4 separate regions of the Mus musculus genome follow, and regions 1, 2 and 4 are each reported to be linked to region 3. Evidence: microRNA targets listed by miRTarBase, many of them from high-throughput screens and not tested one by one. Region 3 holds a microRNA gene; each other region holds the end of a gene's coding sequence.

Region 1 (8,112 bases), not on the chromosome of region 3:
CTCATGGGGCTGTTGGTCCATACACATCCAGCAAAGTCCCTGAGGCTTGGGACTGCAGTGTCTGCAGGGCCAATGTTATCTATCAAAAGGCAGCGGGCAGGCCTTTAGAATCAAAACTTGATCTTTTTTTTTCCTAACATAGAAACTGTAGAATCCTGTAGAATTCAGGAAACTGAGGCAGAAGGTGGGCTGGTACAAGACCAATTAGGGTTAGAAAGGTCAAAAACAGAAAAAGCACAGCTTTAATCCCAGCACTTGGGAGGCAGAGGTGGACAAATCTGAGTTCAAGGCCAGCCTGGTCGACAGAGTGAATGGGCGCCAGGGCAGCCAGGGCTGTGCAGAGAAGAAGAAAAAGAAAAGAAACATTGTCTCAAAAGAAAGAGCAAGAAACCCTAAGTATTTATTTTTATTTTTAAAATGAATCATCATGGTGTTGCTTATGGACTCCATGTCCCCACATCCCAGACCCCCCCCCCCCCAACCCCCAGCCCCTGCCATGCCATCTCAGAGGGCCAGGCCCTGGGCAGTCATGGCTATTGTACTGCATGACAAGGGACATCCCATTCTGGCCTTAAGTTGTGTTTCCAGTATCACTAGGGCTTTCCACAGTTTTCTGTCCTGTGGCTTAGTAGTTTCCCCCCATTCTGCCTTCCCTGTCTACTCATTGTCAAGAGCCTCGAGGAAATGTGACATGTCTGAAGAAAATGAGGTTACAAAGGATTAGCCAGTTCCGTTAAGCAGCCCTTGACCCTTCACAGAAACACCTCAACGCTGTGACATCGAAGGAAATTACTCCTTCCTAATGTCTTGTCTGAAGCTGACCCAGGGCTTTCCCCTGGCCAGAGCTGGGGCTGGGATACCCTTAGACATCTTGCTCTCGTGTGGTGGTGCAAGCTCAGGACAGCAGGCACTCATTTCTCCTCCCTCTCCTGCAGCAGTCTGTGCTCTGAAGCGGAGACACCGAAGAGGAAGAGACGACACAGGAAACTTGCATCTCACGGTGTGATGGCTATTCTTGGTTGCCAACTCGACTACACCTGGAAGTAACTAAAACCCAAAAATGGAGGCCACACCTGGATTCACTTTTAGTCTGGATCTTTGAGGTGGGAAGACGCACATCTAATCTGGGCCACACCCTCTGCTGTCAGCCTATACAAAGACATGGAAGAAGGGAGCTTGCTCTCTGCCTGCTGGCCCTCACGCTCGCTCTCTGGCAAGTTCAATGTGGCATTAAGATCTATGTCTTCAGGATCCCATTGTATACTGAAGACCTGCTGAGACACCCGGCCTTGTGGGCTGAATAACTATGAGATTCATGGACCTTGCATCCCTAGGCAGCCATTGTTAGCAGTAACAGGACCATAGCCCGTAAGTCAGTATAATAAATCTCCTTGCTGTATATAGATTCATTCTCTGTTTGTCTATAGAGAACTCTGACTAATACACACAGCTTCTCAAGATGAAAACTCAAGGGCCTAATTTAAAACTACATCTTCAGGGCAGGGTAGAAGACACCCTGGCTAGACATTGGGAGGCCCTGGGTTCCATCCCCTGCCCCAGGGTTTTGGGGGAAGGAGCACCTTCTAGCTGCAAGTGAGTAACTCTCTACAAAGAGAACTGCAAATTCAAATGTTCAGATTGCCTCCTATGGACAGGGTATATAAATCTGTATTCTCAAAAAGAACAGAGCCAATGGGATGCCGTGTGTGTGTGTGTGTGTGTGTGTGTGTGTGTGTGTACACCTAAAAACACATACACTGTCTTAGTTGCTGTTGTATTGTTGTGAAAAGGCACTAAGAGAAAGCATTTAATTTGGGGGCTTGCTTACAGCCTCAGAGGGTCAGTCCATAATCATCGGGGAGCAGGGGAGCAAGCAGGGATGGTGCTGGAGAAGAAGCTGAGAGCTACATCATAATCAGCAGGCAGCAGGCAGCAGGCAGAGAGAGACACTGGGCCTGGCATGGGTTTTTGAAACCTCGAAGCCCACCCCCAGTGACACACCTTCTCCACCAAGGCCACACTTCATAATCCTTCCCGAACAATTCCACTAACTGGGGACCAAGCATTCAAACCACCGAGCCTATGAGGACCATTCTCACTCAAACCACCACATTCTGTTCCCTGGCCCTCAGTGGCTTATATAATAATGCAGAATGCATTTAGTCCAAGTTCAAAGATCCCCATATAGTCTTTTCACTTCAACGCTGTTTTAAAGTCCAAAGTCTCTTGGGATTCTTGCGATCTTTTAACTGTAACCTCCTATAAAAAACAAAAAGCAAATCGCGTACTTCCAGCATACAGTGGCACAGATTCTACCTTACCATTCCAACAGGGAGGAGGAGGAGCCCTGCGGAGGAGATGCTGGACCAAAGCAAGACTGAAAGCCAGCTGGGCAGACGCCAAATTCTGCAGCCCCATGTCTGATGTCAAAGTGCTCTTCAGGTCTCCAACTCCTTCCAGCTCCGTTGACTGCCGCACACTTCTTTCCCTTGGACTGGTTCCACTCCCTGCTATCAGCTCTTCCTGGCAGGTATCCCACCGCTTTGGCATCTCCAACATTTTGAAGTTTCCAATAAAATCCAAGCTTCGTTTTCACAGCTTCGTGTAATGGCTTCTCTGGGCCTTCATGCAGGGACTCCTGTGCCTCCTTGGCTTTCTATTTAGCCACAGAGGAAGGTTCCAGAGCCCCTTTCCCATATATTCCTTGATAAAGCCAGAACTTCATAAAGTTTTATAGCTGAAGCTGCTAAATTCTGCTGCTTGCTGGTGCTGGACGCTTTCCTTTGTTATTTAAGCCTTAAAAAAAATCCCCCAAGTCTTTTCCTTTGCAGGATTAGCTGGGTGGGTCTTGCCCTGAGGTTACCAATTCCTTTATTCCATTTTAAACCAAGCCTTTTATAAAACTATCCCCTCGAGCACAGAGTTTGGCTCCATTTCCTGATGTTCATTTTTATTTCTCTTTGCCGTGCTCCTCCTTTTCCACGGAGATCTGCAGGAGAGTGCCCACTAGTAACCACGTGATACAGTCAATCCTAGGCTGTCTCGAAATCTCCTCTGCCAAGGACACTAATTTAAAATTCTCCAATAGTGCTCGGGTAGATTTTTTTAAAACAAAGCCAGAAATCAGACACATACATTCTTTGCCAACCCATTATAAGAATGTTCTGTAGGCCACTTGCTATTACTTCTTGCCCTCAGAAACGTCTTGAGGTGCACCTGCAGGGTCCACACCGACCTCGTACTCCTGCCCTCCATGATCCTACTAGGATGCTCCATCAGCCACACTTCCCGCAGCATTCAAGCTAATTCATGCAAAGCACTAAAGCATTCACTTTTCTACTTCAAATTCCCAAAGTCTCCCATATTCTTCCAACAAACAGAATGTCAGGCCTATCACAGCGATGCCACAGATGCCTGCCGTCAACTTCTGTCCTATTGTTCTATTGCTGGAAGGAGGAACCATGACCATACACACACATACAGAGACAGACTGACAGACAGACAGACAGACAGACAGACAGACAGAGAATGGATGATAGATAGGTAGATAGATAGATAGATAGATGATAGATAGATAGATAAGATAGATGATAGATAATGCATAGATGTAGATAGATGGATGATGATTGATATGACATGATAGATCTATTAATAGATCTATTAATCTATCATTTATTAATCAATAGATGATAGATAGATAATAGATTAGAGAGAGACAGACAGAGAGACAGAGAGAGAGAGAAGTAGGTCAGCTTTAGGTAGTAACAGCAGGATCACACCTAAAAGCTGAGAGTCTGGTAGTTACTCAGTCCTAGAGGCCGGTACCTCAGCAGTAGGAGTCCCGCAGTCTCTCTCACTGAAGCAGGACAGGGAATCGGTAGCTTCTCCGTGCACACGACTGGGTACTTCAGCAGGGCCAACCTGTTGCTGGAAACCTGTAAGGTTCCTGGGGAGACACTGGTCCTTAGCCCACAGGGAAGGCCTGGAGACAATGGTTCTGCTGTCTGTGATAGAATTAGCAGCAGCAGCAATGGGCAAATCCACTCAGCCATCAGGGGGAGGCCAAGTGTGCAGATGCAGGTGAGCTTCCTTCTGCAAACCCTTTTATCCAGGCTCTACCAGAAGGTGCTGCTCACAGGCAGGGTAGGTCTTGCCACATCAAGCAGGACGGACACTTCATTCAAAAGAGGCTCCCTAGTCAGGTGATTCTACTTTGTGGCATTAAAATCAACCATAACACAGGGGTTTAGTATATACAATATACAAAAAAAAAAAAAAAAAAAAAAAAAAACAACCTGCAAAACTTAAACACCAAAAATAGTCATTGGATAAACTGGTCAGGGAACGAGAGGGGGGGGGGGAGGAAGGAAGGAAGGAAGGAAGGAAGGAAGGAAGGAAGGAAGGAAGGAAGGAAGGAAGGAAGGAAGGAAGGAAGGAAGGAAGGAAGGAAAAGGAAGGAAGAAAAGAAGAGAGGAAGAAAGAAAAACATAGAGGGTCAATAAATATTTTAAAAAGTTTCCACTTTCCTTGACAATTGAAGAAATGGAAATTAAAGCAATGATCTCAATATTATTGTCTCAGGCAAAGCTAGAACTCAATCTAAAAGCCTATCAGCTGAGGACTGGATGAACAAATGTGGCACCATGGATCCATGCAGTGGAATATTACTCAGCCCTGAAAAGGAACGGAGTGCTGACATATGCTGGAACACAGTTAAGACCTCTGAACATTGTCATCCTACTTGAAGAAAGCCAGCTGCCAATAACTTCTAAGGTATGACTGCAGTTATGTGACATGCTCAGAGCAGGCGTGTCTGTGAGCAGTGACCTAGGGATCATGAGCAGTGAAGGGAAAGGGGGTCGATGGACACGACACTTCTTTTGGGCACAGATTGGGGCGGTGGCTGCAGAAGCCCTGAAAATCACTTTTACATTCAGTAAACTGTATTCGCAGCAGCTGTTTAAAACTCTGTCATCCCAGCACTCTGGGGCCTGAGACAGAAAGCTGGTGTGTTTGTGTAGCCTGGGTTACACAGCAAGACCCTGTTTCAAAGTGGGTGAGGGAGGCAAGTCCATTAAAAATCCTGAGTAAAAACAGAATTAATGATCTTGCATAAACAGGCTCACTGCACACTGACAATCAAGAAGTCCCACAGTGTCCTCCCCAGAAGGCACCCTGCACCAGCCTAGTGCTGGCATCTGCTGTGCCAATACCAGGGTGGGCACTGCTCTGATCCAGAGAGCCTCTCCCAACACCGTGGGCACCTTGAAAGTCCTAAAATTAAGCTATTAACATGTGGAAGGTCTTTATTGAGCAATAATGTTACTAAATCACAGAGATACTTATGAGTTAATTTTCATATAAACAGAAAACAAGAAATCCTCACAACACATGAACTACATGTTAAAGAATGTGTGGGGTCCCACACAAAGCACCCCTCAGATGTTCAGTCCATGTCTGTGGTCCGGGCTTCCTTCACAGACCCCCATATGCAAACGGGGTCCTCGTGATGTCCCTGTATGGAGCTGCAAGTTCTGCTTCTTCACAGTCGGGCCCCTCCCTCTTTGCAATGTGTGTGAGACGAAGAGAAACTGCAGGAGACACTCAGGGCAGCCCACCCAGAGAGAGCAGCTCCCTGAGGCTGAAACCAAGCCTCAGTTTAATGTCCCAAGCACGACACAGAGTTTGTCCCGCAGAAAGCATGCTGGATGGGTGGAGAAAGGAAGGAACAAGAGAGGACAGGCTGGTAGGGGATACAGCAGTGAATCAAAGGAAATAGAATGTATGTGTGAGTGTACATGTGTGTGTGGTTGTGTAGATATGTATATGTATGATATATGTGTGTGTGTCTTAGTTAGGGTTTTCCTGCTGTGAGCAGACACCATGACTAAGGCAAGTCTTATTTAAAAAAATTTTTTTAATTGGGGCTGGCTTACAGGTTCAGAGGTTCAGTCCATTATCATCAAGGTGGGAGCATGGCAGCATCCAGGCAGGCATGGCGCAGGCAGAGCTGAGAGTTCTACATCTTCATCTGAAGGCTGCTACCAGAATACTCGCTTCCAGGCAGCTAGGATGAGGGTCTTAAAGCCAGACACCCACAGTGACACACCTACTCCAACAGGGCCACACCTTCTAAAAGTGCCATTTCCTGGGCCTAGCATATACAAACAATCACAACGTGTGTGTGTGTGTGTGTGTGTGTGTACATACACACACATATATATACAGATAAATGGGTAGAGGAAAGGGGAGAGAGGAAGAGAAGAGGTGAAGGAAAGAGGAGAGAGAGAAAATGAGAGAAGTATGTGTGCACACATGCATGTGTGCATGTATGTAGAAATGAGCAAAGAGCTGCACGCTTTGACAAATATAAGACCCCACAGCATATGTTGCTGAGCATTCAGGGAACATAAAGTGTCGGGCCCACTTTCTCAGGTAGAAATCCTCCCCCGAATGCAGACATCTGGACCCGATGGCACTGAAGGCAACATGGGCAGTACACTGAGCCTAATGCAGTCCAAGGCCCACAGTGGCCACCATCAGGCCCTGGCATGGTTGACATTATCCAGCCCTGGTGTGTGTCCTCAAGGAGCTCAGAAGTGACTGACAAGTCCCCAGAGATGGAACTTGTCTCCCTGAAAACTCCACTGTGGAGCTCTGAGGTTACAACAAGGCTGAATGTACATCATGGATGGGAACCATGGTCCATCTCTGAGCCCATTTCCACTAAGGGGAAGTGTGTTCATTCATTCACAGGGTCCCACGCATCTCCCTCCTATTCTCCTGGGGAGTGGAAGCAATGGTCATTTTAATGAATGACGTTCTAAAGTCCTGCATCTGCCAACAGTTGGCCTGCAAAAGTGGCTCCCATTGAGTATCTGGCTCACCCAAGCACTTCTTCAGACCCTGTTGTTCCGGAGCCTACCAGGGGAGCCAGAGATAACGATCGCCATCCTCAGGACCAGAGACTATTCAGGGCCGTATAAAAACCCTCAGGCTCAGATCCTGGAGAAGCCAGACGGCCCTCTGAGGAGTTAGGTGCCGAGTTCACACCTGACGCGCTTCCTCACACACTTGCGCACAGCGTCGGCCATTCTGTGTCCTCTCCGGTTCTCCAACAGCCCACTCCTGAAATCAGAAGGTAACACTGTGATGAGGTCCTGACGGACAGTGCAGGTCTAGACATAGGACCCGGGGTGAGCTGGCTTGGCTAGCCCCACCCTTCATGCTGAGATTAAAGGCGATAAGTCACGTTTGAACAAACCAGCTAGTGATGCACAGGGGAACATATTTGTCACCGGTGCACATATTTGCTGGATGGACCCGAAGGCCAGCCTGTACAAGATTTAAGTAAGGTCAGAGCAGAGCAGGAGAGCCACGCACCCAGCACCAGTAGATGATGGACACACTCAGCTAACACAAGTCAGAACACCCCAAACAGCTCAGGCTGTACTGGGCATGCCCACCCTTCCCAGGTCATTGTCCCTACAGTACCAAACAACCATTTCTGTGGTGTTCACTGCACTGGGTGCCCAACTCATCCAGAGATGATGTCACGTGTGTGGGAGGGTGAGTGAAACAGGGACACCATTTCACACAGGGGGCTTGGGCATCCAAGGAAGGTCCAGAAACCAACTCCCATAGACACCAAGACACAACTAGACATTGTTGTGTTTGTCTGTTTGTTTATTTGTTATGGGGTCTCCTGTGTTCCAGACTGTCCTTGAATTCTCCACGAAGCTAAAAATGCTCTGATTTTCCTGCCTCTGCCTCTTTTGGGATGGACTCACAGGGGGTACACAAGTACAGCCAGATTCTACAAAGCTTCATGCGTGTGAGGAAGCCGTGTACCAACTGAGCTGCAGACATCCCGAGCCTCGCTTTAAAAGCGTATCCCGTGTGCTAGAGTGAAGCTCCTCGCAGAAGCTACAGGTTACTAAATGAGAACCCAAATGACAGTGTTGGGCTACTTCCCTGTGAGATACAGGACAGGGACGCACCAGAGGCTCCAGAACAGGCCACCGCACTGTGACCAGTTGCCCACCAGAACTACAAGACAAGGTCCTACTGCTGGCTAAAAGACAAAGGGGGATCAAGCTGCAACTGGGGGCT
Region 2 (8,112 bases), not on the chromosome of region 3:
CAAAGCGCGCAGCGGAGCGGCGAGCCGGGGACGCCGCGCACCGGGCCGTGCTCCTCCGGCATCCTCTCTGCCGCTGTCATCACCACCGTCACCGCCAGCCGCGGAGGACCTTCCCGAGCCTGAAGCGCCCGGGATCGGAGCTCAGGGAGGCGAGCAGGCGAGGAGGGGGCCCGGGGCGAGCGGAGGAGAGAGAGCGAGAGAGCAAGAGAGAGAAAGAGAGAGAGCACATTGGCGTGAGCAGGGGGAGGGAGGGCGGGCGCGGGGGGCTGCGGGCAGGGCGGGGGGTGTGTGCACGTTCGAGCTTTCGGGCCACAGCCACCGCCGCGCAAGCTAGAAGCGCCCTAGCCCGGCAAGCTGGCTCACCCGCTGGCCACCCAGCACAGCCCGCTGGCCCCTCTCCTGCAGCCCATCTGGCGGAGCGGCGGCGGCGGTGGCGGCGGAGGCAGGAGGATGGCTTCAGAACTGGCAATGAACAATTCCGACCTGCCCACCAGTCCCCTGGCCATGGAATATGTTAATGACTTCGATCTGATGAAGTTTGAAGTGAAAAAGGAACCGGTGGAGACCGACCGCATCATCAGCCAGTGCGGCCGTCTCATCGCCGGGGGCTCGCTGTCCTCCACCCCCATGAGCACGCCCTGCAGCTCGGTGCCCCCGTCCCCCAGCTTCTCGGCGCCCAGCCCGGGCTCGGGCAGCGAACAGAAGGCGCACCTGGAAGACTACTACTGGATGACCGGCTACCCGCAGCAGCTCAACCCGGAGGCGCTGGGCTTCAGCCCGGAGGACGCGGTCGAGGCGCTCATCAGCAACAGCCACCAGCTCCAGGGTGGCTTCGATGGCTATGCGCGGGGAGCGCAGCAGCTGGCCGCGGCAGCGGGGGCCGGCGCCGGCGCCTCCCTGGGCGGCAGCGGCGAGGAGATGGGCCCCGCCGCCGCCGTGGTGTCCGCCGTGATCGCCGCGGCCGCCGCGCAGAGCGGCGCGGCACCCCACTACCATCACCACCACCACCACGCCGCGGGGCACCACCACCATCCGACGGCCGGCGCCCCGGGAGCCGCGGGCGGCGCGTCTGCCTCTGCGAGCGGCGCGGGTGGCGCGGGCGGCGGTGGCCCGGCCAGCGCCGGGGGCGGCGGCGGCGGAGGCGGCGGCGGGGGCACGGCGGGGGCGGGGGGCGCCCTGCACCCGCACCATGCCGCGGGCGGCCTGCACTTCGACGACCGCTTCTCGGACGAGCAGTTGGTGACCATGTCGGTGCGCGAGCTGAACCGGCAGCTGCGCGGGGTCAGCAAGGAGGAGGTGATCCGACTGAAGCAGAAGAGGCGGACCCTGAAAAACCGCGGCTATGCCCAGTCCTGCCGCTTCAAGAGGGTGCAGCAGAGACACGTCCTGGAGTCGGAGAAGAACCAGCTGCTGCAGCAGGTAGACCACCTCAAGCAGGAGATCTCCAGGCTGGTGCGCGAAAGGGACGCCTACAAGGAGAAATACGAGAAGCTGGTGAGCAACGGCTTCCGAGAAAACGGCTCGAGCAGCGACAACCCTTCCTCTCCCGAATTTTTCATGTGAGTGTGACACGCGATCCCAGCTAGCCACCTTGTTAAATGCTCCGTGGGGGTCCCGCTCCTGAGTGGGCTTGCTAGTTGCAGGGCCAAGCTCGCTCGGCCACCACCTCGCCCCCTCCCCTGGCGAGTTTGCTCCCCTTGGCCCTGAACAGACACACACACACACACACACACACACACACACACACACACACACACACACACCAAGCTTGTGGTGGTGGTGATGGCTCTTTTGAATTGGGGAGGGAAAGGGTGTCTGGCTCATGGATTGCCAACCTGAATTCCCCCGTAACTTGCTAGCTTGGTTGTTTTGTTCTTTTTTATTATTATTATTATTATTACAACTACTACTCTTTTTACACCGCCTGCCCCACACATACCCTGGACTTGCACAAGGGTCAAAGATCTGAGCAGCATACTTCATGTAGGGCATAGCTCACCTTTGAACCGGGCCATCAATTGCCTGTATATATATTTTTTCTTCTTCTTCTTCAGCTCATGAGCTGGTGTTCATTCTGTGTGTGTGTGTTTGTGTGTTTTATTTTGTTTGGATTTTCTTTTTTCTTCTTCTTCTTCTTTGTTTTTGTTTATTATTACTATTACTAATTTTTTGGAGCTTGCTGTGTTTCCCAGCCTCTGCCACCCCCCACCCCCACCCCTGCACCATGTTCTTGAGATAAAAGGAAAAAAAAAAAAAGCAGGGTTTTTTTTTCCCCTCCTTCTGAGTTCTTCTGATTGAGCTTGCAAAGGAAAAAAAAATGTGAAATGCTATAGACCTTGCAGCGAGCTGAGTTCCACGGGGGTTTTATCTTAGCATTGTTATGCTAAAACAGAATGAACTAAAGCCACTCCTGAACCTGCCACAATCAAGCCTACATCAACCTTCTGGGTGTGACTTGTGAGTTTTGGCCTTATGATGCCAAATCTGAAAGTTTAGTCTGCCATTAAACAACAAACAAACAAAAACACAAAAACAAACTTACTCTCATCTCATGCATTACGATGCTTGCTACTTTGTCTTAGCAACAATGAACTATAACAGTTTCAAAGACATTATGGAAAAGAGACATTATATTAATAAAAGAAGCCTGCATGCTGGACATGTATGGTATAATTATTTTTTTCCTTTTTTTTCCCCCCAATTTGGCTTGGAAATGGACTTTTGAAGACTTAGCGCATGACATCCATACTTTTGATTTACAGCCTCATGACTTTTTTGAGTTCCAAACAACAACAGAAAAAGTACAACCCCAGAGCCTTCTTCCCTTGACAGTTTGCTTCTACTCCTGACTGCTTTGAGTTACAATGAACTTCAGCCTCCCGTTGTACATGCACTGAAGGCGTTCCTTGTCAAAGATAGCAGAATGGGCTACAAATTTATATGGCAAATATTATAGAACGTAAATTAAATGTTTTCTTTTTAGAAACAATGATGCCTGCTTTGGGGCACTTTAAATTGTGCTATTGCCAAAAGCAGTCTAAATTTTCTTTGAAAAGAAAGAAAAAAAAAATCTGCCCCAATTATTTTTTGGTTGGTTTTATTTTTTTTTATTTTATTTTTTCTATTTTTTTTTTAATTTTTTTGGTTTTTGGTCATTGTCAAATGTGGAATGCTATGGGTTTCTAGTATATAATTTAATTCTAGATTTTATAATCTGTTAGCCCAGTTAAAATGTATGCTACAGATAAAGGAATGTTATAGATACATTTGAAAGAGTTAGGTCTGTGTAGCTGTAGATTTTTTTAAAGACCGATGCACTAAATTGTTTACTGTTGTGATGTTAAGGGGGGTAGAGTTTGCAAGGGGACTGTTTAAAAAGTAGCTTTCTGAAGCATGTGCTTGCAACTTAAATATAAGTTGGGTATGTGTAGTTCTTGCTATACCATGGACTGTATTGAAAACCAAAGTATTAAAAGGGGAAATGCCCCTGTTTATATCTGTAGGGGTATTTTACATTCAAAATGTATGTTTTTTTCCAAAATTAAAGTATTTGGGACTGAATTGCACTAAGATATAACCTGCAAGCATATAATACAAAAAAAAATCGCAAAAACTGTTTAGAACGCTAATAAAATTTATGCAGTTATAAAATGGCATTACTGCACAGTTTTAAAGTGATGCAGATTTTTTACAGTTATGTTGTGGTGCAGAACTGGATTTTCTGTAACTTAAAAAAATCCACAGTTTTAAAGGCAATAACCAGTAAATGTTATTTTCAGGGACTGACATCCTGTCTTAGAAAGAAAGAAAGAAAGAAAGAAAGAAAGAAAGAAAGAAAGAAAGAAAGAAAGAAAGAAAAGGAAAGGAAATCTTACCACAATAAATATAAGAAATCTTGTCAGTTACTTTTCTTTTACATATTTTGCTGTGCAAAATTGTTTTATAACTTGAGTTACTAACTAACCACGCGTGACGTTCTACATGCTTCTCTTTCATTTTCAATTCTGGTTATATCAAGAGAAAGAATAATCTACAATAATAAACTGCATTTTTTTTGATTCTGTTCCGTTTCTTAGTGTACAGATTAACTGGGTCCCATGTCTTGGAGCTTGGATATGAAATACAAAATGCATTCTCTTTGATTTCTGAACAAGGGAGTTGGAGGCAGGAATTCTATTCTGAGAGGCAGGAGATTGACACCATATAGTCAGTAACAATATTTAATATTAATACAAATTATGACATCTTATTTTTTCTCCTCACAGATCTTAGTTTCCTAATAGGCTGAGCTAGTAAGGAAAAAAAGTGAGAAAGAGGGACAGTGAGAGAGAAAGATAGAGAGATAGACAGACAGACAGACAGACAGACAGAGACACACACACACACACACACACACACACACACACACACACACTGAGAGCACATAGGAGCTTTCTGAACAGGACTCTAAGCTTCTGACGAAGGAGCACAGATAGAGGGACTGGGACCAGCAAGTCTGGCTCACCAGAGGTGCATGGGAACATATGCATTTAATGGTAAAGATAAATAATTCTTGCCGTTTGGCCAAAATTGATTATTTTTTCTTCTTCCCTTACATGTTGTGATTTTCTTGTTGGCACAGTCCTGACAAGACTAAACATAAACACTTTGCACAAATCAAAGTTGTTTGATTTTGCTCTTTTTTCCCCCTGTCATTTTTTTTTAAACTTTTCAAGTCACTTGTCCTAAATGGGAAAAAGAAAGTCTATCATTTGCACACAGAGTTTCCAGTTCACACCAGGTTTTATCTATATTATCTAACTATATTTCGAATAGTCAAAGAGCTGTCTCCAAGCATATAAGCTAGGGATAACTACATGAGTCCCCCAAATATAAATATACAAAGAAAACAACATTTTCATGGGGTGTAGGCGGTGCTCTGATATATTGCTGTTTGCCCCCAAAGCAGGTTATGAATGGGGTCTAATTGAATGATCACTTGGAAAAATATCTCAATTACCTTCAGTTGAATTCCTAAACCCTGACCCATTTAAAACTGACACAAATTCCTGCAACCATGTTACAAATACATGGCATTTTCTCTTTCGGTAGGACTCCCTGAGAATTAATCCCATAGTAGACAAAGCCAACACTGTTTTGGAAATATAGCGAAACACAAATGACTTTTGTCTGATTATGTTTTCGATTCTTTTTTCTTTTTTAAAATACTAGCTAATATTGCAACCCACCATGCAGGCCTGATTTCTAAGGAATCGGGTAGCCCTTCAGGCTGGGGAATCCTGGCCTGTTTCTCATGGGCCTTGGCTCTTTTGCACAGAACACAGACTGTTTACACTTCCTATGTTGGCGTCACTCGGTGAGCTTAGACGTGAGTCCTCAAAACACTTAGTTCTGCTTGACAGAGAAATCTTAATGGCAAAACTTCTCTTCTATGCTCTAAGTTAGCCGTCCTCAGCTTTAGAGATTTTCATCATCTGACTACAGCCAGAAAATAGGCACACATTACCAGTCTGGCGAGGAGGAAATGGGTATATCACTTGGACCCAAAGCTCAGCACCAGAAGAAAGAGTTTAGGCAAATATATTCTTAGGCACAAGAGGCATTTGTAACACGATGGTCGCAGTTGTTTATCAAAGAGTAAGACCTGGGTTGGGGTGGGGGAGATGCAATTATATATAATAATTAATCACTTTGATAGAGTTCTATAAAGCAGTTCAATATCAGAAGCCAGTTTGGGCCCTGGACATTAGAAAATGAGACAGCACCATCAGAATAAAGAGGAGGCGGAGTGACTGGCTCAAAGCAAAAGTTAACCTTCACTGAAAAGCGCTTTCAGACACGAGAGACTTCAGAAGATAATACTAAACAGAACTAAACGCAAAAAAAAAAAAAAAAAAAAAAAAAGACGTATCTTGTCCAAATGCCCATGAGTACAAATAGATTCCCAAAGGTTAAAAACAAAGGAAGGAGAGAAAGAGAAAGAAATCGAAGAATAAGAAAGTCTCCTTTTCCCCTTTCCCCTGCATTTGTCTAAATAGTGTTAAAATTCCTATCATTCCAATAATGAAACAGCCCACTGGCAAGTTAGAGTCATCAGCGGGATATGGCACATTTGGGAAGCCCAGCCGCGTGTGCCCAGTGTGAGTGTGTTCATAAAATATGGGATGCCCATAAGATGAATGCAAGCTGTCCATTTGAGAATATTGTTTGTGATTCTGGGGAATGATTCCCATTTTCTGTCCTTTCTAAAGAAAAATGTGTTCGAGAAGAAGGCTAATAAATATGTAGCCACCATACTAAACAATTAAGTAACTACACTCCTTGTCTGAAGGACTCCCAGACTCCCAGGAAAGGGCCTCTGCACTTAGCCATGTATCAGGCATACAACCAAACAGGTGTGATAGCTTTCCAGCTGTGACAATCGTTTTTGTTTTTGTTTTTGTTTTAATCTATTGGAATTAGCACCTCCATGTGTGCGCGTGTGCATGCGTGTGTATGTGTGTGTATGTATGTGTTATACCAACATATCTATAAAGAAAACTTTCCCAAAAGCAAACAGCTAGTATTTTTAAAAGCAAATTCATGCATGCACATTCCTGACAGTATATCTTCATTTTTATTGTTTTCCTGGCAGAGAATTATACTAAGGGGGAAAAAAAAAAGCAAGAATTTGACTTCTCTCCCCAAACCCATGTTAGGGGCATCAGCTTTCTGTGGATGGGGACACTTTAGGTTTTCAAAGGTCCTGGTGATACTAGTATTGATTGGTGTCAAACGTGTCATTTGTCAGACATAGCTGTAAATGAAACCAATTGTGGTAAAATACAGTTAGGTACACACCTTCCGGATGCTCCTCCGGCACACCCCCATATACAGTGTTTTTTCCTCTGAGGCGCTCAACAAAAATCACTTACTTTTAATTTCCTGGCATATGTATATTTCCCCTTTTCAAAAAAAATTCATAAAATATCCAACATATTAATATATTGATATCAAATAGTTGCAACCTCTTCCCAACTGATAAATCATGTGCGCATTTACAGCTTGGTGCCTGAACCACTGAGACCCCCTTTCCACACAGACACTACCTACAATGGGAGATGCTGTTTTTTTGCTGAATGTGTCTGGTGCTAACACCCTGTTCTTTCCTCCCCTTTACCTTTACCAGAGTCCTGTTTATGTGGTAACATCACTTCTAGATTTGGGGGCTTTTAAATAGGACTTCCTCTGGCCAAACCACCAATGTTACTGTTAAAAGCATTCAGATAGAAGAATGGTAGTCACCTTTACGCAGTTCGGCTCTCCAGCCAGGTTCCCTGCGTTTCCTTGTCTCAGTCACAGAAGTTGCTTGTGACGCACCCCAAGGCTTAGGAGCACAGAGCTTTCAGGGTCTTTGTTGTCTTACCCTGCTCTGATTGAGGGAAACTTACCCCCCTTTGCTTACACATTCTTAGCTTGATAAAATACTACTGATGTATATCAGACCAACCCATATTTTTAAAAGTCTGATTGCAACCCTGGCATCATTTGTTTGTTTGTTTGTTTGTTTGTTTGTTTATCATGAGTGACAGCATTTAGACATCTGATCACTGCATACCAAAACCTCCCACTGCCGCTCTGAGGCCTTAATGCTCCTACAAACTGTCCATGAGAGAGCCATCAGAAGTCAGCCCCCCTCGCAGCCCACTTTGGAGGGCTGATTTGCAGGACTTCCCTTAGGGACTGACTTACATTGGATTATAAAACTAATAATTTACACCCTTTCTTGGAAGAGGCACTATCGTTCCATTGTGTTGTTTTGGGGGATTTAGGGAAGTTTTCTCTGCAGTCGAAGGCTGTGGTTTCTACCACTTCAATTGATTCTTCAAGATCCTAACTGAATAACATGGAGTCTGTGCTTTCCTTCAAAACGCTGAAGTTTATTTGTGTTCTCAGCTGATCCTCAAGCTCAGAGATGTCCCAAGTCCAGAGTAGAGCAGCCATAGGGGACAGGGACAGAGTCCAGGGTCCTGTGAGTGGAACCAGGATTTGTTTTTGAATTTGTCTAAAACAGGAAAAGCCTTACTCTGCCTTCTCAAAAGGTAGTTTTTATCACTTTGAATACAGATCTTT
Region 3 (8,112 bases):
GAAGGAGAACCAGCAGACAGAGGAGGAGAAGGAGGAGGAGGGGGGAGGGGGAGGGGGAGGAGAGGGGGAGGGGAGGGGAGGGGAGGGGAGGGGGAGGGGAGGGGGAGGGGAGGGTGGGATATAATAACTTACATGGAGTTGTATCTACATTGTAAAATTCTCGTATCTCTATGACATGGGAACTACTATTAAGATTTAATCCCATTCCCCTCTACTCCGACTTCTCTACATTTTAGAAGAGGGCACTATTGGTAAGTGTGTCAGTCAGTTTTTCTGAGATAAAAATACCTGAGGTAATAAAAGTAAGATAGGTTGATTTGACTCACAGTTTGGGGAGTTTCAGCCTTTATCACTTGGCACCATTACTCTGGGGCTTCTGATGGTCCAGCACATCACCATGGAAAACAATCTCCTTCAATGGCATGTTCCCAGTCATGTATTTTTTTCCTACTAGAGCCTATCTCTAAAGGCTCCACCACTCCAACAGCATCTGAAAGCCAAGCCTTTAGCTCATGGGTCTTCGGGGCACATTCCAGATTCAAGCTACAGCAGTCAATAGAAAAGGCAAGAGCAGAGAGACAAGGTTAGAACTTCCAGGCTTGGGGACAGTTCTTCACACTGCACATTGCCATGAGGGTAACATCTTTTGGTTCCCTTTAAATACGTTAAGTGGTTGGGATCAATCCAAGGGTAAAGAAAAATGAGCTAGTGTTGTGATAGTATGATACTCTATAATCTAAAGAAATGTCCATTTTAAGAGAGAAATTAAATAATATGCATTGATTAACAGACTAAGGTAGTGCTATATGTACTAACATGACAATTTCTCCAAGGAAAAAAGTAAGTAAGTGGATAAGATATGCAGTATAAGAGATCGCTAATACAGCGCTCGTTCACATACACATGTATATCACACACACACACACACACACACACACATGTACACACACACATAAAAATAAAAATAAAAATAAAAATAAATTAAGTAGTCGTGAAGGCGGGAGGGTGACTCTGCAGAAATAAGAAATTAAAGGGAATTTTTGTTATTTGTTCCGTAGACTTCTGTACTGTCTTCACTTGGATACACATGGAAAATGTGGTTTTGGGTTTTTTTGAGGGGTGGGTGGGTTGCTTTGGGTTTTGATTTTGTTTTAACAAAAGCAGGAAAAACACTTCCACTTCAAGGTAAATGGCCACAAGAATTCCCCAGTGGTTGGGTAATTAAAGATGACAGTATGGAACTGTGGCATGACAGACCATGTCCCAAGTTAGTGTCCCTATTTCAGTGGGCAAGAAGGTGGACCCATGCTCTGAACCTGAATGGAAAATTCCAGCCAGGCACAGCTTGCTTACACTGTATCTGACAGGAACGCCAGGCTCCAATTGAGCCTCCTAATAAAATTCACCTCAAGCATCAAAAGAAGAAAATATTTTGCACATCTTGCTGTGGCACCTGGGATAAACATACACTTGCATAGTTACCCGACTAATGAGCTCTCCTGAAGATGGTTTTCCTAAGGAGCCAGGAGGAAGGTGATCACAGTGTATTTCTGTTCACAAAAATGCTATCTTGTTCAATCAAGTGCACAGAGGTGCCAACTTCAGCTTGTGTGTGCCTATTTCTCCCCTTCCTTGAGTGTAGGTCAAGATTCTGGTTGCCAGTTTTGTCGTGGTTACTTTTCCATTGCTATGACAAAACACCACAGCCAGACAACTGATAAAAGAAAGTATTTAATTTGGTGATCCTGGTTCAAGAAGGTTAGAGTGGGAGGCCATCTTGGCAGGGAACATGGTAGAAGGCACACAGGTATGGCATTGGGACAGTAGCTGAGAACTTACATCTGATCTACAAGTAGAAGGCAGAGAAAGAGAGAATGGCATAGGCCATTGAAACCTCAATGCCCACTTCTAGGGACACACATCCTCCAACAAGGCCAACCTCCTAATCCTTCCCAAACAACTCCACCAACTTCAAATCAAGCCCTCAAATACGTAAACCTTTGGAGGCATTCTCATTTGAACTACCACATGGCCCTCTAGGGTAGCTTGTTAATTTTACATTTTGTCCCCAGTCTCCTCCTGTGATGGTGTCCCCAGGCTGAGTCTCTGGGCAACTCCACAGGGATGGTATAATACCTGGGCCAGAATCCACTTGCTTTTGCCCCCTAAGGTACTTCCAAAATGACAGAACATACATCTCTCCAGGCTCCAGTGGGGCCACCCTGCTATACCTAAGGGAAAATCATTTCTATTTCCTTCCTGACAGCTCAGCCAATACTATGTCTCTGGATAACCACTGACTGGAAGAATGAGTATCATTTTGCCAAAACTCTATCCTGAGCAGTCAGAAACTGGGTAGTAAGAATGAATGCAAGACAGGAGTAGTGACTCACACCTGTAATTCCAGTGTGCTTGGGAGAATGAGGCAAGAGGACTGAGTTTGAGATTAACTTGGATTCCATATATAATGAGCTCTAGACTAACCTTGGCTACAATATAAGACCCCGTATGAAAAAAATAATAGCAGGGCTGAGAAAATGGCTCAATATTTAAAACAACTGCCCTGCAAGTGTAGGGTCTGGAGTTTGACTCCCCAGAACCCACATAAAGTTTAACACATCAGTACACATCTGTAATCCCAGAGTTCCTCTGCAAAGATAGGCAATAGAGACAGGAGAATCCCAGAGGCTCACAGGCAGCTACTCTGGCAAACAATAAGAAAACCTTAGACAAGGCAGAAAGTGAAGATGGAGAGTGGAGGTTGTCCTCTGACCTCCACACATGTACTGTGTGTATAGGCACCTACACTCACACACATAAACATGCATGCACACAGCAATAGTAGTAAAGACACAAGAAAGAATTGCAAAGCACCTGGGAAGGATGGAGGAAGAGGTTTGCTGTTGCTGTACCCAAGAGCACTCTGAATTCTCTGTGGAGCTTGACAATGGAAGAATCAACCAGGAGTTGGTTGCTCGTATTACACACACACACACCAGCATAGAGCCATTAGGGCAGTCCCTAATCTTATATTAAGAAGAAATGTGGACCCAGACATGTGCAGCCCATGTGAAGACTTCAGAAGACAGGTACCTACAAGCCAAAAAGAGAGGCCTCAAAGATTCCTCCTCATAGTCCTCGGGAGACAGCAGCCCTGCCAACACTTGTGCTGTTACTTTGAGCCTTCAAGATTATGAGTAAATACCTAATGTTTAAGCCGTGTGATCTGTGATGCTCTGTCACAGCATGCTAGTAACATGAAATCGCCACTCATTATTTAAAGGGGTCATAGGTGTTGCTGTGAATCAGTGTGATCTGATTCCCCTTTTCAAGTGTGACTCTGGTTGACCCAGACTACAGTCCATGTAACACCCCGCACCCCCCACCCCCCGGGACAGTGGTTTTAATTTCTCATCTTGAGCATCAGGTCTTCCCTGCAGCCATGGAAAGATGAAGGACAGAGGGACAGGAGACTAATGGTAGAGTAGGGATACAGAAGGTAGGTTGTTCTTCCTCCCATTCCCATGCTCCCAGAAATAAGACACAGACTCAAAATATGTTTACAATACCTTGGCCATACAGCTAGGCTCTTCTCTAACTAGGTCAGAACTTAAAATAACCCACCTATGCTCAACTACATTTTGCCACATAGCTGGTTACCTGTGCTCAGGTACCAGGTATCTGTCTTGTCACATCTTCCCCAGTGTATCTCCCACCTGGCACTATCCCAGAATCCTTTCTACCTCACAGATGTCCTACCTCCTATTTCCTGCCAAGTTATAGGTCATCAAATTTATTACTGACAGTTGCCACATGCATACAGACATAAGATATTTTCTCCCCATAGAGATTAATTAGAAGTCAGGATCAGGATTATATTACTCTCCTAGGGTTCCTCCTTCCTCAAGATTTAGTTTCTATATGTGCACAGTTTAAGCAGGCACAGTCAACTGACTATGAAAGCAGAGACAACAGGAGAGAAGACGAGTCCAGGGCTGGAGACTGGATACCACTGACTTCTGCTTCTACACGTGGAGCAGATATATACAGTATCCTTGAGGCAGAAGGAGACAGACACTCTCATCCAGGGATATAGCTGACAGAGAAGAGACATCCACCCCCATACACACATCTCATCCCATCGTCTCTAACATCTGCATACTTGCACTTCACAGCTCACAAGTCTAACCTTCCCAGGTAACTGGCCCATTTGGGTCTGGTGTACCTTCAATCTCTCTTTTTTTATTTTCTTAAAAGAAACATTTGAGAGCTGAGCATCTAAGATGGCTTTGGATTCACACCCACTGTCTGTGGAACAGCTTGAGGCTGACAAGATTAGCTCGCTGGAACGCTCTGGGATCCGTTCAGCCTAAGCTGCTGCCCACACACCAGCCTTGCTCACAGAAGCTGCTTTCCGCAAGCAGCAGCCCGCTTCACCTCCTCCATCCTGGCTCGTGGAACTGGTCCTTGATGTCCTACCTGGTCTTGAGGACAGTGGCTTCCAGCCTCAACCAGTCCTCATTCCCAGATTCCAGGATGTGACCATGGTGATGTCTCAGCCTCTCCAGAGGAGTCCGAAGGGTGATACTTCTGTCCTTCCTCCTCCCATGTCTAATCACCTGATTTTACAGAACCCAGCATAGCGAGCAGTGCTGCAAGCTTCCTTCCCCTCCCTCGGCTCTCTTCTTCTGTCCCTTCTTTCTGTAATATCCAAGGGGACCAGACAGAGTGGGCCTTGATAACACACATTCCCTTGGCTCCAGAGCAGTAGCTTCTAAAACCTGTAAATAAGACAGCTCTATGCCCCTGTGTAGACATACACCCCAAGGATAGGCTGGCTCCCTGGTACCTGTCCAGAGTTGAGAGTTCAAAAGACAGACCAGTGGATAGAAATGCTATCATGCCCACCCACCCCCACCCCGCCAAGCAAGGCCTGCTGGCTCATGTACCTGGCCAGACATTACATGAGCAACGGGCAGTAATTGTTGTCTAATCTCTTCCCAGAGGTTTCAACTAGTTCCAAACTGTTGTGGCTAATAAAAACAGAGAAGATTTGCAAGAAATTCCAGGTGCATCGGAACACTTTGGGGGATTGTGCAGCCTGCAGGCAGACGAAACTTAACTCAAATAAACATAAGGTAATATGTGTTGGCAAAAGTAACCTGAAGTGGGAGTATACAACTGTACGTTTCAAATTGGCTGCTGCCTGTAAGGATGGAGATTGGTAGTAGCTCAGAATGGATGAAGTGGGCAGAGTAGCCAATGTGCATCCCAGAATAACCGAGGCAAATCAGATCTCATCTCACACAGACCCCATCAGTGGCCCAAGATGGAGCACATGACAGATTCCGCAGTCCCACTTTCTACTTTAAGGATGAGGAGACATCGTGGAGTGGCCTCCAGATTTAGGGGTCTCCTGTGAGCCAGGAATGTGTGGTCATGTTCTCAATGGAGCGAGTAAAAGAAAGTGTCTGTTTTTGTTCATTGAAGTCATTGACTCCAAGCCCTGGAAGCTGCCATGTTACCTCCATCTGCTGCCTAACTCTCAGGGCCACATTTAGATAAAGAGCCGAACTTCTGAACTGCAACAGCCCTGGACTTCAGTCAATTCCCTACTTTCTTACAGAAAAGAAAATATTGAAAAGCTGTATTATGGTGTCTTATATGAATGTGCTAGTTTCCAGGATGGGAGGGGCTGTATATTCACCTATATTCACACACATATACATGTGTGCATGTGATATACATTCATGTACACCCTCCTATAGAAATAAGTGTATGTGTGTGTGTGCATGCATATGTGTATATGTGTATGTATGTGTGTGCATATACACATGGGTGTGCATGTGCATGAGTGCATGTACGTGTATATGCATGTTCTCTATTGATATGTGTGTGTGTGTGTGTGTGTGTGTGTGTGTGTGTGCAGGTGTGTATATACATATATATGTGTGTGTGTGTGTGTGTGTGTACATGTACATGTGAGTATGTGTGTGTATATGTTTGTACATGTGCATGTGTGTGAGTATGTGAATATATGTGTATATGTGTGCATGTGCATGTGTGTGTATGGTGAGTAGGTGTTACTAATTGTGACTCCGATGGCTGTGTCTCCATCTGGCCTAGGTGACAGGTAAGCAACTGCACTGATCTTTCACAGGTAGCAGCAGCCTTATAGGGCAGGAGAAGACTGGCACCTCTGCACTGGCCGTGACCTTACCTGCAAGCCCCCGAGGAACAGGAGCTTTTTTACTCCTCCATCTTCTGGCTTCCCAAGCAGGTGCTGATATCTTGACAGGGAAGGGGAAATGCTCTGTCCTGGCCCTCTTGCCTCACAGAACTAAAAGCTAAACATGGCTTCAACTACCTCAGCGGCTTTCTTCTCCCACAACCACATGCAGTAGAGAGGCCCAGCGCTGCAGAATACATCTGTGATAGGAGAGGAGAGCTTGGATCTGGAATGTTCTAGAAAGTGATGGAATAATTTGAAATCCAAACTGTCTAAAGGCTGAAGAAGAAAGGAAGCCATTGCCACCTGCAGGAAGCAGCCAGGTCCTTTTGACCTCTCAAAGTTCTTGGCTGTGAGGTTCCATCATTCAGCTGATAAAACAGAGGAACAAATGTTACACAGGGAAGTTCACAGGAAAAGGGTCAGTACAGAGTGTGCAGAGCTTCTGGTGGTATAAAAGCCAGTCACTGAAAACTAGGGACATGTCCTCAGTCCTTGAGACCTGAAGTCATCTCTTCTCTTCTAAGCATCCATTATACCCAGGATTCCACAGCCCTAGGCCTTCTGGAAACAAACTTCATTTCCCCAAAAATTGTCTGCTACCCTAATGCCACCGGAACAAGTTTTTTAGCTCTTGGGTTATAGCTCAATGATGAAACACTTGCCCAGCATATACAAGACCCCAGATTCCACCTCCAACAACAACACAAAGCACGCCAGTACATCTCAGCCTGTGCAGAGGCTCAAATTTCGAAGGAAATAGGAAATAGATTCATTCATTCATTTAGTGACTCTTTCTCTTCTGCTGTGTATGAGACGCTGTGTTAGGCAACACCAGAAATAAGGTAAAGATTTAGCAGGTGACCACAAACGAGAAAGTGCAGTGCGTTCTCCACTTTAATCAGAGCAAGCCAGCAAATAAAATGTTCTAGGCAGTTTGTCTTGGCACCAGCCACAGGAATTTACCTGTGACATCCTAATAAAGAGGACACTGAGACATGACATCCACAAGGACTTGATTGGCTCTCCTGGAGCTGATTGTGCACACCAACCCCCAGGAAATAAGGCCAGGAGGTCTGTGGTGAAGCCTGAGTGTCCACGGTCCAACTGGGTCCTGGGTAACGTGGAAGCTGTTGTGAGTCTTGTCCTCAGAGACATGTATATAGAAAGACTCTAGTTCACCTCACTCTACTGAGCTGCATCTTAGGAAGGGCAATTAAATCCTAGCTATCACCCTGCAGCTGACAGGGCACACACACACTGCCAGCTCTCAACTAACTGGTCACACCCAGGGTATTTTCAGGCTATTATTATTATTATTATTATTATTATTGTATCTCAGAATATTTATATGAATAGCAGAGGAAAAAATATTTATTTACTTCCTTTTAAACATTTTTTTTTCTAAGTCTAACTTTTCATATTGTTGGGAGGCTACAAACTCAAGATTGTTTCCAAGGGATACCTGGAAAGCTAGGATGTCACCAGAATGTAGGACCATCTGCTACAGCAGATACTACTTCCTCCCTTGAGCTGAGAGACTTGGAAAGATTGACCCCAATTAAGAAGATGGGGGAGCAGGCAGGATGAGGAGGGAAGGAGGGAGGTTTTAGATAATGCGATGGTGTATCTAAAGCCACTGATTCGGGAAGAAACAGAGAGAGAGAGAGAGAGAGCACACCAGATCCAGCTGGCCTCTAGCTCTCTTTCCCTCCACCCAGACTGATATGTGTGAGCTGTCCTCTCTCCTCCTCCAGTTGTCTGCACAATGCCACCGCTCAGGTCACCCCATGTCACTGTTTCCTTCTGCCCTTGCCAGGGCCCACTGTCTCGCTAGTTCATTTCACTGCATTTAGCACCGACAGTGACCCACAGAAGAAAAT
Region 4 (8,112 bases), not on the chromosome of region 3:
GATTACACATCATTTTAATTTATATGCTTCTGTGGGTGGCAGTACATCTGTTCCAAAGATCTTTGGCAGAGTTATTTCAGTCTCTTTGGTCAGAGCTACAGTAGCTCCAAATGAGATTCCTGCACAGAGAGCATTCTTGCCATACTTTTTTGCATCGAAAATGGGCTGGACGTGGTGTTGATGCCTGTAATTCCAGCCACTCCAGAGGAGTGGGAAGATCACTTGAACTCATAAACTCAAGGCCAGCCCAGGTAATAAGATCTAGTCTCAAAAAATAACTAAGTAGAAAAGCTTGGGAGATGTCAGTTGGAAAGCACTTGCCATGCAAGCATGAGGACTTGCATTTGACCCTAAGTACTCACATACAAGCCTAGACATGGTGCTGTGTGTCTGCAACCCTGGGGTGTCAGGGGGCAGGGCAGCACTTGTTTTTCAAGAGTACTGGGAAACAATTCTCAGCACCCACATGGTGGCTTACTCCAGTTCCATCATCTTCTTTGTGGCTTCCATAGGCACATGGTACACAGACATGTATGCAGGCAAAATACCTATACACATTCATTACATTTTGTGATGTCTGGTGGCATATACTTTCAATCCCAGCACTCTTGACAAGTAGAGGCAGACAGATGACTGTGAGTTCCAGGTCAGCCAAGGTTACACAGAGAAACCATGTCTCAAAAAAATCAAATCAAATTTTACTATGTTTTTTATTGCACTGATGACTGAATATCGGACCTCGTGTGTGGCAGCCGAGTAATCTACCACTGAACTATATATATCCTCATCCTCTTTTCTGTTATTATTTTGAGACAATTTGACTATAACCCTGGCTGGTGTTGAACTCATGATATTCTTGCCATATCCTTTTGAGTGCTGCAATTACATGCCCATATCTAGGTCCCAAATATATAAAACTTTGTGTATTTGTGTGTGTGTGGGGGGGAGTGAATATATGTCCATAGAATTGCAAATCATATATTCTGCCCCTGAGCTATATCCTCAATTAAAATTAAATTTGTTGATTTTTTTTTCTTTTCTCCCCAGCCTCTATAAACTTGATTTTTGAAACAGAATTTCATGTAGCCTAGGCTGGCCTCAGATTCACTGTGTAGTTGAGGAAGACCCTGCTATTATGGTCCTTTTGCCTCTTCTTTCTAAGTGCTAGGATTATAGGCACAGGCCGTGATGCCACTTTTCATGCAGTGCTGTGAAATTGAACCCAGTGTCCAGTGCATGCTAGGTAGACACTCTTCCAACTGAGCTGCACCTGAATTCCCCCAGTTTAACTTGTGTTCAAAATGGGTTATTTTGTGAACAGAGGCTGATATTTATTTCTCTTTTTTTTTTTCAGGCTGACACCAACAAGAATCGTATTGACATTGCCAATACAAGAGCAAAGAAACTCATTGATAGTTAAAGCCCTGCTGTACTTCTTTACCTGTTAACTCAGTTCTCTAGCTCCGCTGAGTCATTTCTTATTCAGAGTTTGAAAGGCTGTGAGAAGGAGCAGAGGAGGAATGCCTCGCTACTTTCTTACTTTGTCTTTAGGGGGTAGGTTCTTGCTCAGGCTTCCTTACAGTCTTTCTCAGTCACTCTCATAGGCTTCTTTCCATACATCACCGTCTCTTCATCTCTTCATTTAGCTTCTTTTGCGTTCAAGATTTGGAAGCATTGCCAAAGAGCCATGAAAGAAGCAGCTGTATAAGTAGCTTTTGTCATTATTGGTATTGGTTGGTTGGTTTGGTTTTGGTTTTGTGGTAAAGAGCAAGAGGAAGGAATAGGAAATGAAGCTGACTCATTAAAGAAACTACAGGTCACAAAAACACAGACGAGTGCTTGGGGTGGGAGCTTTCACACATGTGTTTTGTTCTGCATCACTGTTTTTCAGCTTCTGCTCCAAAGGAGAATACAATGAGTTTTCTAGAAGTGAGCTTCACTTCTGAACCCATAGTGATTTGTACGTATATACATAGGTTCTTGGATCCAGTTTCATATTGCACATGCAGGAACATTATATAAATGAGTGCCTTTTATTCTCACACAATGAGTCATGGCATGGTCCCATTGTAGGCCTGTTAACTTCATGAAGTTGACGGTAGCCTTTAAAAGATACACACACACACACACACACACATGAAATAGGAGATTTCCTCAAAGTTTTGGGGAAACTTTTACAGTGTATCATGTGAATTCAGATTTACCTCAATACTAAGAATTATGTTTAGATATGAAAAAAACTTGTTTTGATCTCAGGTAGAAAAATAGATTGCTTTGAGTTTTGTGTAGTTTTAAACATTTAAAAAGTCATAATTTGTTACTAAAAGTTGTTTGGAAAATTATGCCTTTATATTAATTATTGATGACCGCACTGCCATTCTCTCTGCCTTATGCACAGAATCAAGTTTATGTAGATCCTGAAGTGTTAGGGAAGCTGAAATGGTATTTGTCACATTTGTTTAAAAATTAGCATCTGTACACTTTAGAGCTACTAAAGTAGACTGGTTTCACCAATAACCATTGCTTTATTCTTACAATTAAATTTTATAATTAATGATATTGTTCTTTCAAATAGGTAATGTTTCTATGACTTATTTGTGGGGGCAATCATTTTATCAGCTTCTGTTGACATTAAATAAAGCAAATGTCCATACATCAAGCACTCCAATAGAAAGCTGTATTAGCTCTCTTCTAATTTTTAGCAGAAGTGTTTACAGGAGTTTCTATGGTTTGCTATGAGTCCATTCTAGACATTATCTTAGTCATTTGTACTTAAATACACTACTGAGTATTTCTGAGTGAGAATTACAAGTCACTTATTGAAGAAGATAAATGTAGCCTACCAACATTCAGAGGGTGAAGAGGACAGTATTTAAAACAACAGAGAAATGCCTGGCATGGTGGCGCACACCTTTAATCCCAGCACTCGGGAGGCAGAGGCAGGCAGATTTCTGAGTTCGAGGCCAGCCTGGTCTACAGAGTGAGTTCCAGTTCAGCCAGGGCTATACAGAGAAACCCTGTCTCGAAAAACAAACAAAAAAATCAAAGAAGCACTCCATGTCAGAGTGGTTCATTTGTCAGGTAAAGATACTGAATTTAAGAGGTGTGGCTAAGTCCAAAACACTGAATTGTGCTGTACCTAAAAGTGCTTTCCTTAAAAACATGCTGATTTGTCTAAAGGAACGGTACCAAAAGGTGGCATCCAAGGTATATTTGGTTAGAATATGCACCAAAACCCCTTTGCTCTTGCTGGCTGGTGTGAATGTATGCTATTTCTTTGTCTTGGTTTCCATATCTGTAAATGGGGATTAATAAATCTTATTTTATAAACTTATTCACAGACCAGTAATGCCCAGAAATTTCTTAGAATATGCCAGGCTCAGAGTCCATACTGGTAATCCCAAAATTTGGGAACCTGAGGCACAATCTACCCAGTGAGTTGTGGGCCAGCCTAAATTGTGTCAAAAAACAGCACCCCCTCCCCCCAAAAAAAGAATCAACCAACAAAACTCTTAGAACAGTGCCTATAAGATGTAACTGTCATAAATGATAGCTATTTTCTCTAGACTGGAGGAAGCTCTTTTTGGTCAAAGATCTTAGGTTTCCCCTTCTCCAGAGAAAAAGCAAAGAAGCAGATACCAAGTGCCTTTGCCTGCTGAACCATCATGCGCACCACTTCCATTATTTTTGAGATACGATAGCAAGTAAATACAAGCTGGAGATTTATTTTTGGTCTGTTTTCTAGTATAGTGATCTTGAATACAATACCTGATTACAGATAAGAGCTAGTATCTTGTACCAAACTTTTTGTTTGTTGTTTTCGTTTGTTTTTCTTGACACAGGGTTTCTCTGTGTAGCCTTGGCTGTCCTAGAAATCACTGTGTAGACCAGGCTGGCCTCAAACTCAGAGATCTACCTGCCTCTGCCTCCCATGTGCTGGGATTAAAGGTGTGTGCCACCACCACCTGGCAACTTTTTATTTTTTTAAACTGGGTCTCACCATGTAAAGCTGGCTGACCTCAAACCCAGAGATCTACCAGTCGCTACTCCGCAGATACTGAAATCAAGTGTGCCACTACACCCAACTTCAAAATTTTACGTTTTAAAAAATTTTAAAGCCCAAATTTCATCTTAACTTATACGGCTGTACCTATTTCATCCCTTCTTCAGTTTTAATGTATTCTTTGGTCAATTCTTTTTTCTTTCTTTTTTATTTTTCTTTTTTCTTTTTTGGTTTTTCGAGACAGGGTTTCTCTGTACAGCCTTGGCTGTCCTGGAACTCACTCTGTAGACCAAGCTGGCCTTGAACTCAGAAATCCGCCGGCCTCTGCCTCCCAAGTGTTAGGATTAAAGGTGTGTGCCACCACTGCCCGGCCTTTTATTATTATTATTATTATTATTATTATTATTAGTAGTAGTAGTAGTAGTAGTAGTAGTAGTAGTACACTGAAACTGTCTTCAGACACATCAGAAGAGGGCGTCAGATCTCATTAAGGGTGGTTGTGAGCCACCATATGGTTGCTGGGATTTGAACTCAGGACCTTCAGAAGAGCAGCCAGTGCTCTTAACCTCTGAGCCATCTCTCCAGCCCTCTTCAGTCAATTCTTAATCTTTCCTTATCACATATGGATTCTGACTCTTCTATTAAGTTAAACATCTTATTATGAGCATATAAAGTTAAGTTTCTAGGACTGGGGATGTAGAACCGCTCAGTTCATGAAGTGCTTGCCTAGTATTCAAAAACTGGATTCAGCTCTGGACTACCGTGTAAGCCAGGTGTGGTGGTTGCCCTCCAAACGCAGCCCTGGGTAGGAGGATCAGGGGCTCAAGGTCATCCTCAGGCTCAGTTCCAGGACAACCTGGAATATGTGAAACACCACCCAAAAACCAAAATGGCCAATAATATGGCTTAGCAGGTAAGGCTGGCAACCCAAGTTTGAACTCCTCCGGGACCTAAATGGTAGAAGAAGCAAGCCAACTCCTAAAAGTATTCTTCTGACTTCCACATGTGCTGTAGTGGATGCAAGCTTGTGTACACATATACATAAAAAATGTAATGAAAATAAAAAGCAAAAGCTATTTGAATGCCATTTTCCTGGATGCTCTTAATTAAAATTCCAAGTTATCCTAATTAGGTTCCTAATTTATTTCTCATATTGATATTCAGGTTCCTTATCCTGAAGTCATTGATTGATCTTTTTTTTTTCCTCTATAGATAAGATAAATGGTTTGTTTGTTTCACTGAGTTCCTGCTGTGTCACTTTTATGTATCTTCTCTCTATAATACATACTTGAGAAGTGAGAGGTATTCCCTATATTTACAGATGAGAGTAAGTTGCCCAGGAAGCTATTAAGTAGCAAAGGATCTATATGTTGATTCCTCCAAGTACAATGCCTGTGATCTAACTCCATGTACTAGCTGACTCCAAACCAAACTAAAATTTAAGGCATATTGGGTAGGTTTGTTTTGTTTTTTAAAAAGATTTTGTTTATGAGTGTTAAGGTTGCATGTATGTATGTGTAGCACATGTATGCCTACTGCCCAGAGGCCAGAAGAGGGTGTTGGGACCTCCATGGAGGTGGAGGAACTGAATCTGGTCCTCTGTAAGGACGAGTACTTTTTATCTCTGAGTTCTCTCTCCAGTCCCTTTATATGGTTTTTTAACCTCAAGCACTTCAGATTAGCAAGAGAGATAAATATAGGATGTGGAAAGTATTCTATCAGCAAATGGGGGAGCAGCTAATTCGGATTAGATTAAGGGAAGGAGCTTAGATACGGGTCAGCACCATGTAAGTGAGATGGCATGTCTTGACTTACTAACAGGAAGGCATTCTGGAGCAGTATAATTTGGTATGGTTGGACATACAACTGAGACTAAAGAAAAAGGTGCTACTTGCTGATTCTTACAGACACATGTAAGTTATTTATAGTTTCAGATTTGTTAGTGAAAGGCACTGTTCAGACAGAAGACTTCAGAAAACAATCTCTATGATAGCTTCACGACGTTCTTACCAGTAACAATCTGAAATCCTGTCTCTGTACCTTCACATTCTCTTAAGCACAATTCCCAGTTCCTCAGAAATGTCTGCATGGCTGCAAAGGTGTTCATTGCCATAAAACCAAACAAGAGTGTGAAATATATCCCAATTTTCTCTTTCCTGTCTTTCTTTTTGGCTTTTTTGAGACAGGCTTCTTTTTTTTTTTTTTTTAATGGTACCCAGTTTACTTTCAGAGAGCAAAGAGAGAGGGTGTTGGGATCTCCATGGAGGTTAGGTTAAAAGTTCTTTAATTGATTAACATTACTTCCAGACAAAGTTCATTAAAAATATTTTATTTAGAATATTCTCTCATTCAGAGAGTAACTATGATAAACATAAGTTATTTTAAAATATTGTAGCAATGGTTTTCTTGAAGGTAATCTGATTAGTACAGTTATAAATACAAAAGGGGGAGGAGTTACCAGAAATAGCACATGATTTTTAACAAAGCTTCAGGAAAATCTTGATTATTAAAATTAATTTAAAATCCTACAAGTAGGCTGAGTGTAGCGCATGCCTACAATCCCAGCATGTGGGGGAGGGGAGAGGTGTGAGGTTGGGAGATTTTGAGTCTGAGGCCAGCCTGGGCTACATAGCAAAAACCTGTCTAAAAACAAAAATTTTGTATAATTTTTGCATATAGTTTTAGCTCTTTCAGAGCCTTCTACCAATAAGGCACCTGCAATAGTAAAAAAAAAAAAATTTGCTACTGCAGCCTTGGGGAACATTCTCGGTGGCTGTTGTGTTGGTGCTCCTTTGACAAAGGTCTCTTCAAGACAGCTACATATTTAGGTACATCCTAAGTTCCAAGTGTAAACACTGCTATTGAGTTAGTGTACAGGAACAAACACATTCATCCTTAGTCATACGTTTCCCACAAATTAGAATTTCATAAAAAATATGAAGTATTAACACAGAGGTGATGGGAAAGACTTTATGAAAGCTGACAGTTCGCAAACTCAAAGTCTCCAGCTATGGCAAGCAGCATTTCCTCCCTTCATGAACAGCAGGTTCCTTAGAGCCCAACTAATGATAGTTTTGAAGATCAACACTGGCCATGACCTACACGGCTCAAGATGAAGGGTTCTTCCTGTCTCCTACTCCTAAATCCCTTTCCTTCAGCTTATCTGACATAGTCCTAAAAAGGAAAAAGTCATTAAGTAAAATGTTCTCTGCAGTGTATCCAACATCAGGAGCCTTTGACTCAGTCAGATTTCAACAGAGGTTCCAAGTCTGTCCCATGATCCTGGAGAATATCATGCAAATTTCTTCTTGGTGGCTGTGAACCTCTCCATGTACTAAAAACATGAAAGAAAATTATACATATGGCATTTGGTGTAGACAAATATAAGAATCCTTTTTTTTTCAATGATTTATTTTTATTTTACGTAGTTTGGTGTTTTGACTGCATCTATATCTGTGTGAGGGTGTTGGATCCCCTGCAACAGGAGTTATGGATAGTTGGGAGCTGCCATGTGGGGGCTAGGAATTGAATCCTGGTCCTCTGAAAGAACAGTCAGTGCTCTTAACTCCTGAGCCATTTCTCCAGCCCCCCCTCCCCCAGGGATACTTTTTGACTTACGTTTTTATGTTTTTTTTTTCTTTTTAATTTGACTTGATTAATTTCATACAAAACTAACTCCTTTTCAAGGCAGAATCTCACTATGTAGCCCTGGGCTGGCCTTGGACTCAGATCTGCCTGCCTCTGCCTCCCAAGTGCTAGGATTAAAACCCTGCTCCAAACCTGGCAAAATCTACTTAAATTCATTAATTTTTGCCTCTTTTTTTTGGCTAGGAAACATCAAAAGATGCAGTGCGATAATCAATATGTGGAGAAAGTCACTTGGCACAATACAGTCTGGCCAAGTCTTAGAGCTACCTCCAAAACAAACTTGTCAAATGCTAACTGTAGACATCACTTAAGTTTAATCTCATTAGTTTTTTCTCTGGAGCAGGCACTAAAAATGTAAAAGATGTTAATACACACCTTATCATAACCCTCTAGTTCTCGAAGTTTCTTTATTTCAAAGAGATTGCCTTCCACAGCAAGCAGGCAGATTTGGGAGTCACTGA

Evidence for each region. Region 3 holds the annotated microRNA mmu-miR-466i-5p (UGUGUGUGUGUGUGUGUGUG, at 5,949-5,968, shown strand). A microRNA usually pairs through its seed, bases 2 to 8, with sites in the 3' UTR of a target mRNA and lowers its output. Matches are read on the target gene's strand: a 7mer-m8 pairs with bases 2 to 8, a 7mer-A1 pairs with bases 2 to 7 and ends in A, and an 8mer does both.
Region 1: miRTarBase lists Fam169b as a target of mmu-miR-466i-5p. Seed matches in the 3' UTR shown: 7mer-A1 at 6,576-6,582, 7mer-m8 at 6,575-6,581, 7mer-A1 at 6,198-6,204, 8mer at 6,196-6,203, 8mer at 6,194-6,201, 8mer at 6,192-6,199 and 13 more.
Region 2: the mRNA of Maf is a reported target of mmu-miR-466i-5p. Seed matches in the 3' UTR shown: 7mer-A1 at 1,712-1,718, 8mer at 1,713-1,720, 8mer at 1,715-1,722, 8mer at 1,717-1,724, 8mer at 1,719-1,726, 8mer at 1,721-1,728 and 18 more.
Region 4: the mRNA of Snap23 is a reported target of mmu-miR-466i-5p. Seed matches in the 3' UTR shown: 7mer-A1 at 2,115-2,121, 8mer at 2,116-2,123, 8mer at 2,118-2,125, 8mer at 2,120-2,127, 8mer at 2,122-2,129, 8mer at 2,124-2,131 and 3 more.

The regions. Positions count from the first base shown.
Region 1 is chr7:68,360,258-68,368,369 of GRCm38, reverse strand. Fam169b (family with sequence similarity 169, member B) reads right to left here. Exons shown (of 9, transcript NM_001374636.1): 9 at 5,289-7,128. The coding sequence ends at 7,048. Among named protein-coding and RNA genes, the nearest start is that of Gm16158, 11 kb to the right of the region's middle.
Region 2 is chr8:115,699,202-115,707,313 of GRCm38, reverse strand. It overlaps Maf (avian musculoaponeurotic fibrosarcoma oncogene homolog), which reads left to right and starts at 420. Exons shown (of 1, transcript NM_001025577.2): 1 at 420-4,061. The coding sequence starts at 451. The coding sequence ends at 1,563.
Region 3 is chr3:85,461,434-85,469,545 of GRCm38, forward strand. Mir466k (microRNA 466k) reads left to right here and starts at 5,944; the gene lies at 5,944-6,065. Gm31419 (a long non-coding RNA gene) reads right to left here. Exons shown (of 6, transcript XR_001783866.1): 2 at 327-543.
Region 4 is chr2:120,597,922-120,606,033 of GRCm38, forward strand. It overlaps Snap23 (synaptosomal-associated protein 23), which reads left to right. Exons shown (of 8, transcript NM_009222.3): 8 at 1,355-2,801. The coding sequence ends at 1,420. It overlaps Lrrc57 (leucine rich repeat containing 57), which reads right to left. Exons shown (of 6, transcript NM_001159612.1): 5 at 8,027-8,112; 6 at 6,317-7,337. The coding sequence ends at 7,296. Among named protein-coding and RNA genes, the nearest start is that of Lrrc57, 7.4 kb to the right of the region's middle.